Arabidopsis thaliana: one gene and its partner. The protein of the gene in region 1 interacts with the protein of each later gene in a pairwise test. Each region holds a gene or a part of one and is shown on either strand. Other genes may lie near its edges.

The links. Proteins that work in one complex are often made in the same cells at the same time.
Region 2: the proteins of AT3G07310 (region 1) and NADP-ME4 interact in a two-hybrid assay, tested with the Arabidopsis thaliana proteins (one large-scale study listed by BioGRID).

What each region holds. Positions count from the first base shown.
Region 1 is NC_003074.8:2,328,200-2,331,953, forward strand, and holds the start of AT3G07310 (phosphoserine aminotransferase, putative (DUF760)), read right to left. Parts: upstream 1,728-3,754; 5' UTR 1,479-1,727; coding exon 1,123-1,478; exon of another isoform or gene 893-1,122; coding exon of another isoform or gene 849-892; intron 609-848; coding exon 1-608.
Region 2 is NC_003070.9:30,009,981-30,013,734, forward strand, and holds the start of NADP-ME4 (NADP-malic enzyme 4), read right to left. Parts: upstream 1,711-3,754; 5' UTR 1,200-1,710; coding exon 1,170-1,199; intron 1,082-1,169; coding exon 674-1,081; intron 576-673; coding exon 501-575; intron 408-500; coding exon 256-407; intron 171-255; coding exon 65-170; intron 1-64. Other genes in the region: DTA4 (downstream target of AGL15-4), read left to right, coding at 2,014-2,465, 2,555-3,062. UniProt on the Arabidopsis thaliana protein: The chloroplastic ME isoform decarboxylates malate shuttled from neighboring mesophyll cells. The CO(2) released is then refixed by ribulose-bisphosphate carboxylase. This pathway eliminates the photorespiratory loss of CO(2) that occurs in most plants.

The sequences.
Region 1 (3,754 bases):
ATGTCACTATGGTCTCATCACTCTCTTCCGTGCCAAAAAGAGCCAAACTTTGCTTCTCTATCAGATTCCTTGCCTCCTCTGTCCTTGGTTTTGCGCATCTCTGCAATGTCTCGGGATCAAAGTCTGAGATGTAATGTCTCAGCTGCTGCTTGTTGGAGATCTGTGCAGTGCCCGTTGTGAATGAGCATCCAAAGATGGGACTTTTCAGATATCCGCTTCCATGAATATCTGATAAGGAACACTCAAGCTGGTGCCTTAGGGAAGCTGATTTCAAGAAGTAACCGTACAAGATCGAGGCAGCATATACTTTCCTGAGATGCAGTTTCTGTATCTGCGTTGTTGCCCAATTGTCAGTCACACATGAGTTGACCCGTAATCCGATGACTGCGCTAACGTGTTCTTTGATGATCTCAAGGGTATCGCAGCTGTAAATTGACTCTAACTCCCAGTCTTTTGAAGGCCAGATCTCGAGTCTTCCATTATAGATGCATCTGGATAGCTTTGGAACAAGAGGGACTCTTATCTCGGAGTATTTGTAAAAGATTAACATGTACATTATGTCTTGGACTGCAGTTTTACAGTAGCGTTCCTTGAGTTCAGCTATCCTTCTGCCAACCATGGAATCAGAGTGTTAGTGTTCGTAAAAGAGCAGAAGATAGTTGAGAAAATGTTCACAAACAGAGCATAAAATGGCCTGAGCAAGTCAGAGAGTTTAACACAGGCAAGAAACTAAAATATACGGAAACTATTTAACGAACTAAGCAACAATGAAATGTAAAAAAGCAAAACCAGCCCTTATCAAACACTAAAACAAAACTTGCTTCACAAGGCAGAGTATGAGAAAGCACCTGAAGATCATAACTACAGAATTCTCTTGTTTCAATTCAACCATATCATTAGTGTGATTCTCAAATCATCATAAACTGATAAACACCATCAAACAACTTATAATCAAACTTTACAAGCTTATGTGATAAATACTAATAAAATACTGATTTGTGGTCGATTAAATAAGAGTATGTAAGTAATGATTTACACATATTTCTTTGTATGTTTATAATTCTACAGCTGTTTACGGATCTTTGAATTGTGAGAGATTAGATAAGGAAAGGTTTCACGGACCTGTGGAGAGAAGCCTCATCGGAACCAGAGCTGAGAGACATACGAGCTAAAGCAGCTTCCCTATCATCAGCCAGTTGCTTTAGCTCATCAGCGGCGGCGTAATGAAATAGCTGCCGTTTGTTTAGCAACACGCTTCTCAGAAACCTCCCCTGCGCCGATCGTGGCTCAAGCGGCGCGTTTAGACTGCTTCCAGGCTCACACCGACTCTGTCCCGCCGCCGCAACCACAACCATCGAACTATACTGGATCTTCCTCTTCGCCGGAATAACAAAACCACCGCCTCCATCGCCGCTCTGTCTCCTGGAACGCGACGGGAGAAACTGAAGCGCCGTTTGATTAGAGAGACAACTATCCATTGATCAGATTTGAGCAATAAAAAAAACCTAGAAACAGTGGAAAAACCCTAAAAGGATCTGTGATTTGAGAGAATTTCGGGAATTGTGAATGAGAGAGAGATGAAGAAGAATGATTTAGCGGATTAGTGGGAGAAGTGGCGAAGAATGGATAAGGTTGAAGAGAGTATCTTTTTGTTACTATATTATTCCGTTTCTATTTTTACATAAAAATATATTTGCTTCTGTTTTTTCCAATGGGCTCCTCAATTCGGTGTGTGGTTATTGTTTAACTCCAACTTGACAAGTGCATATATGTCATTGGCTATTATGTAAATCTTATTTTCGTTGAAATCATTTCTCATTCACATTTTCTTTAGCTTTGAGCCACCTGGAAATTTCAAAAATCCTAGATTCAAACGGACTCGGCTAAAGTCTAATTTTACAGGATTAGTAAAACATAAAACTTGGAAGTTTAGTAAACCACAATTAATAGTATAAGAGAATTTGATGAATAATTGTTTCAAAGTAGTATAGTTTACGTAAATTAGTTTAGTCGTATGATTTTCATATTCATTATAGTTAGGTGGTTGATGTTCACAGATATTTGTATATTTTATACACATGGGTTATAGTTTATGTATGGTACACACAGTCTAGCTAGATTGATGAATCATGATACCTTATCTCAATTATTGGCAATTTTATAAACAAATATAAGATGACCCATCGTGTTCTCTGCCTCAGGCTCTGAGTGTTAAAGGATTGGACCGATTGGTGGTCCTCTAAAGCCATCTTAGCTTATTTGTAAAAAACACCCCTACTTTTCGTCAATCATGCATCGGCTAACAATTTGATTATTTATTTCCTTCCCTTGACAAAAGAGTTGCAAATTTGAACCCTTATTACTCCTGAACAAGGGTTCATTGTGTGTTGATTGGTATATTTATTAGGTTTAGTGTAACACTAGTCTATCAAACTACAATGATACTTGAAATGTAGTTGTCATCGCTTGGATCTAAATTAGAAGTTCAAATTTGTATTTTAGACAGAAGTTGATACTAATTACAAATTTCATCGGCAGTATTTTGGATTGATGTGTGGTAAAAAAAAAAGTTAGAATGAAAAAGCAGATTCAAGATTTAACTACTTTGGTTATAATCAACTTCTGGCCGTAACAAATACATATATAGTTTCCGGCTATCAAATAATTTATGTTTGTTTTGTTATTTTACAATTGCTTTAAAAAATGTTTTCCTGCTTTTGAAACATATACAAAGTACAACCGCGGAGCGGGTAAGCCATGAGCCCATGACTCGTGCGAGGTTTTGACTTTGGATGACTTCTGAATCGTGGTATTGAATACTTTAATTATTAGGATAAGTGGAAGCTCCTATCATAGCGGCGTGTACATTGTTTGCTATCACTTGGGTGGTCCACAGCCTAATCTAGAGTTTTAACCCATCGTTCTAAAAGATTTCAAATGTGAATAGATGAGACAATGGCATAGATGTAAGTCTAAGTGTATGTTCGATATAGTTGTTAAATATAGTTGTTAAACTAAACTCTTTTTTTAAAAATATATATATATTTTGATAAATCTCCATGGTGATATAACAATGGTACAAACACAAGTTAAACCACTAATTTACGTGTCATAGTCTAGTTATTACTATGTTTTTTTCATAAATGTGTTTTTACTTTTTTAGTAGATGTAATTAAAGCTAATTAGCAGAAGAAAAAAAGGGAAGCAAAAGCGAACATATATATGAGGGCACTATGGAGCACAACACATGTCGCCATATATATATACCAGATATTGAATGAAATGATACAATAGAGAGTAGAAGGTGTACGAACGCATGGTTAAAATGAAAATTTCGACATTTGAAAACATGGTCAAAACGATCAAATAAATAACAATCTCATCACTAATTACATCCAAAGTTGTACTTGGTAACAAGAAAGAAGAGCAATCAATCAACCAAGAGAGAATTGTGTAACAAGTTTTTACCGCTTATGAAGTTGAAATGGAGTTGTGAATGTATTGACCACATACGAATCCTTTATACATGCAGAAGAGTAAAGTAGAGACAACTTCATGGTTTGTACTTTTTAGCTGCAAAAGGTCAAACATTTTCTTTGCAAAGTGAGAAAGAAAGCTATGACGACATCCTATTCTCACGAGTCACGATGCAGAGAAGAGAATCATGGCATCCGATTCTCAATAGTTACATGTGCTTTTTCAAAAGTAAGATCAATTTTGCAAACGTTTCTTTTTGTTAACAAAAGAAGATCAT
Region 2 (3,754 bases), on another chromosome or scaffold:
TTAGTAAGAGGATAAACCCTGACTCACCACTCTCATGAAAGCAGAAAAGAATCAAACAACTTGCCTGACATCCAAGATCTCCTAACCCTAAAATGCGCTCCCCATCAGTGACAACAATGACCTGGATGTTCTTCTCAGGCCAGTTCCTCAGCACTTCATGAATCTTACCTCTATTATTGAAAATTGTATCCTCACTTAAAAGATGAGAACAAGAATAGTGAAAGTGGTAGTTGATTTCCGTATAAAAAGGCTCACTTTTCTTTCAAGCTGATAAAAAGCCCCTGTGGACGCAGGAAAATGCTACCATACTTCTGGCAGGCTTCCCCAACCGTTGGAGTGTAGATAACGGGTAGCAACTCCTCGACGTGATCAATGAGAAGTTTGTAAAACAGCCTCTCGTTGGTCTCCTGAAATACAAAAGCATTGTGAAAGAAGTTGGGTAACAAAGGAAGGCACTTGGTGTAGTTGAGATAGCGAGACTTCCTAATGAGTTAGTTTACCTGGAGATCCATCATAGCCATATACTTCTGCAAGGGAACTTGATACTGACGAAGAGTGTGCATAATTTTTTTAACCTGTAGACAAAGCGTGCAGTAAAAGGATCAAAAGTCCAAATCTCCAGTTGCATATATATATATAGAAAGGGTAAGTGAAACCTGACAAGACGGGAAACCTGAAGATCTTGTGAGATAACAGTGGGGGGGAGGAGGCCGCGTAGATAGTGAGCGTCACGCTCTCTGTGGCTAAAGGCAAGGCCTTTGTTGTGATGTGGATCACGCAACAACGTATACCCACTGGCGACAGAGAGAGACCAAGGAGTGATAGGCATGTCCTCGGTGGCGGCATCCTCGCCGTAGACATCCTGAACTCCACCAGATACGGTGGATTTGGGAACAATGTCGGCGGCGGAGGTCTCGAGAGAGGAGGATGAAGTGGCAGTGGTCTCAATCAAAACGCTGCCGGTGGGATCCTGGTTAGATCCGAGAGAGGAAAAGACTCTCAAGGAAGCAGGAGGAGTAATTATAGTTCTAGGCTGGCGCAGAGAGAGGCGTGTGGAACATCCAGGAACAACCGTCTTGTTCTGAGAAACCAAAGCAATGAGACTTTTTCGTATATAAAAAAAGATGAGACATGGACGATGGATGGAGAAGGAATGATGTAAATAATACCAGAAACAACGAGGGAGTGAGAGAGATCATGGCGTCTGGGGATGCCTTGTCTCTTAGACGGAGGAGGAGAAGGGAGGAGACGGAGAGAGTCTTCTTCTTCAGAGCGGCCGTGGTCGTGGATTTCAGCGCGGCCGTGGTCGTGGATTTCAGCGCGGCCGTGATCGTCTCTCGCTCACTTTCTCTCTTCCTATCTCCCTCACACGCTCTAAATCTGCTGGGAGAGAGTCTTCTTCTTCAGAACCTCCATTGTTGACGTGTCTTCTTCCTTTTCTATCTCTTCCCAAATTGCGTCTCCACTCCTTGGCTTCTCCCTTTATTTACCAATTTGCCATTGCTCACCGGTCCCTGTATTGGTACGCTTTTGTCAATTTTAGCCCACAAAATCTAAATTATAACTTTTCGTTGACTCTGACCTCTCTCTCTTATTTCTTTTCAATTGAAAATTGTGACTCAAACTAGCAAAAGGACAGACAATTTCAAGCGAAAATGCAACTACCATCAATGTACTGGTACTAAGTAGATTTAGTTGGTTTGGAATTGGTATGAGAGAGATTCACCACTTGCCCTCTCTACTTGACATTTATTTTTTTATTTATGTGACAGAAAAGGACTCTTCCAACTTGGACTTGTGTCACACTCGATGCCCATCCTGTGAGGATCCACGTCAATTGGGTAAACAAAAGGCCGCTTAAGGCCCAACTTGGGTCCATCCATAATATGATGAATAGTGTCATCCTCTCTGGTTTTTGGAAAAGGAAAAGTTGCAATGAATAAAAGCAAACAAGAGAATTGCATCTCATCATTATGCTCTCGCTTTATTTAACAAAAACTTTTTCTTTGGCCAATGATCGATCCTTGCTCTACATATATACAAGTATTATCACGAGTAAGACCCCAAACAAAAATGGGAGTTTCCTCTCCCGACTTCCGAGCCCCTCCTCCGTCCCCGGTAGCATCCAGCCGCCGTGCCTCCTTCACGGCCAACGAAGACGTCCTCTCGGAGTTCCTGGACAAGTGTGGTCGAGTCCCAAATCTTGTATTGCCCGATAAAGTCTTCCCCAAGCACACATTCCTTCTCAACCCTCCCACCTTCGATTTCCACCGGTTGGACTCCCTCTCGGCTCTGCTTGATGCCATCGCCACCATCGGTTGTTTTCAGCTCGTTAACCACGGTGTTCCAGAGGCTATGGTGAAAGCCGCCATGGACAAAACCATTTTCCACGATGAGACGGAGGAGTTCGTGTTTAATAAAGATATTAATGCTGATGATCACACGGCTTGTTATTCAGATTTGAGGTAAGGCAGCAAAATTTACTATATATAGTAATTGATTAGGAATATATATTGTTTAAAATAAAGTAGTAAGTAATGATTTGAAGATGCAGGGAGTTGATGGGTGAGGCAGAGAGGATAGGGAAGGCGGTGAGAGAAAAGCTAGGAGCAGGAGGAAGAAGCCAAAAGGAAGGGGTAGGGGTTTGCTACGTGAAGAGGCATAATATTAAAAACGAATCAAAGGAAGAAGCCATAAGGATGCTGCTAAGAGGCTATGACGAAAGACATTCTCTATGTCTCAACTTCTGCCATGCAGAGTTCCACGTCTACTCCAAAAGAGGTTGGGTCTCCTTCTCCCCACGTCCCGATGCGGTGATCGTCACAATCGGAGATCAAGGCTGGAGCGGAAGATTCAAGGGCGTTGTGGGGAGGCCCCTTCTTTACAAATCAGATCTTCATCACAATCTGATTTCCATATCCTTTCTCTACACTAGTACTACCACTCTCCACAACACAAGCAGAAAAATTACCAAAAGGACGAAGAAGAAGACCATTTCCCTCTTCCAACAGCTCCTCTTTGCTCTCTTTCTCACACTCCTCTTCCCTTTTTTACTTCCTTGATCATTACATACTTGTTGCCTTGTTGCTCCTTTTTTCCTTTTTTTCTTTGGAAACTAAAATACAAGTGGGTAATGTGTATCTCAATCTTGTTTAATTTTAGCCTTTTTCCCAAGCAATGCATGGCCCAATCATTCAGTTTAAAATCCCGCTATATCCAAATAACGATATTTGACCCCTCACCCATTCGGTTATCAATCTCATGCCCAATCCACTTGACACTGCGCAAGAATCACATAGATATATACTCTGAACTCTGAAGTAATTCTTACATAACCCGAGATTAATTAGGTGGTGCAAGAGCACATATCCACCTTCGAGTATTTCACTGCAAGAAACGTAACGTGTATATATATGCACAGATTTGATGTATAGTAATGCTATGCATCGTTTTCACACTACGTATGTAATGTAAGTGTAACTATAATGCAATATAGACAACAAGATATATAGAGTTATGTTGAATCAGCTACATATAATAGACAAGAAATGTATGCATGCACGTGAGCGTCCTCCCACTTTCCAAGTTATCGCAAAAGTGAGTTTAAAACAACCAATATATATTTTTTCTTCTTCTTCTTTTTGTTGGGATTGATAATATTTACAAGTTTCAACTTTTAACTTCATTACGAGTGGTCTTCCTCGAGTCCATGTTGTTCCTCTCTTATATGTGTGGTTAGACAAAACTCCCACAC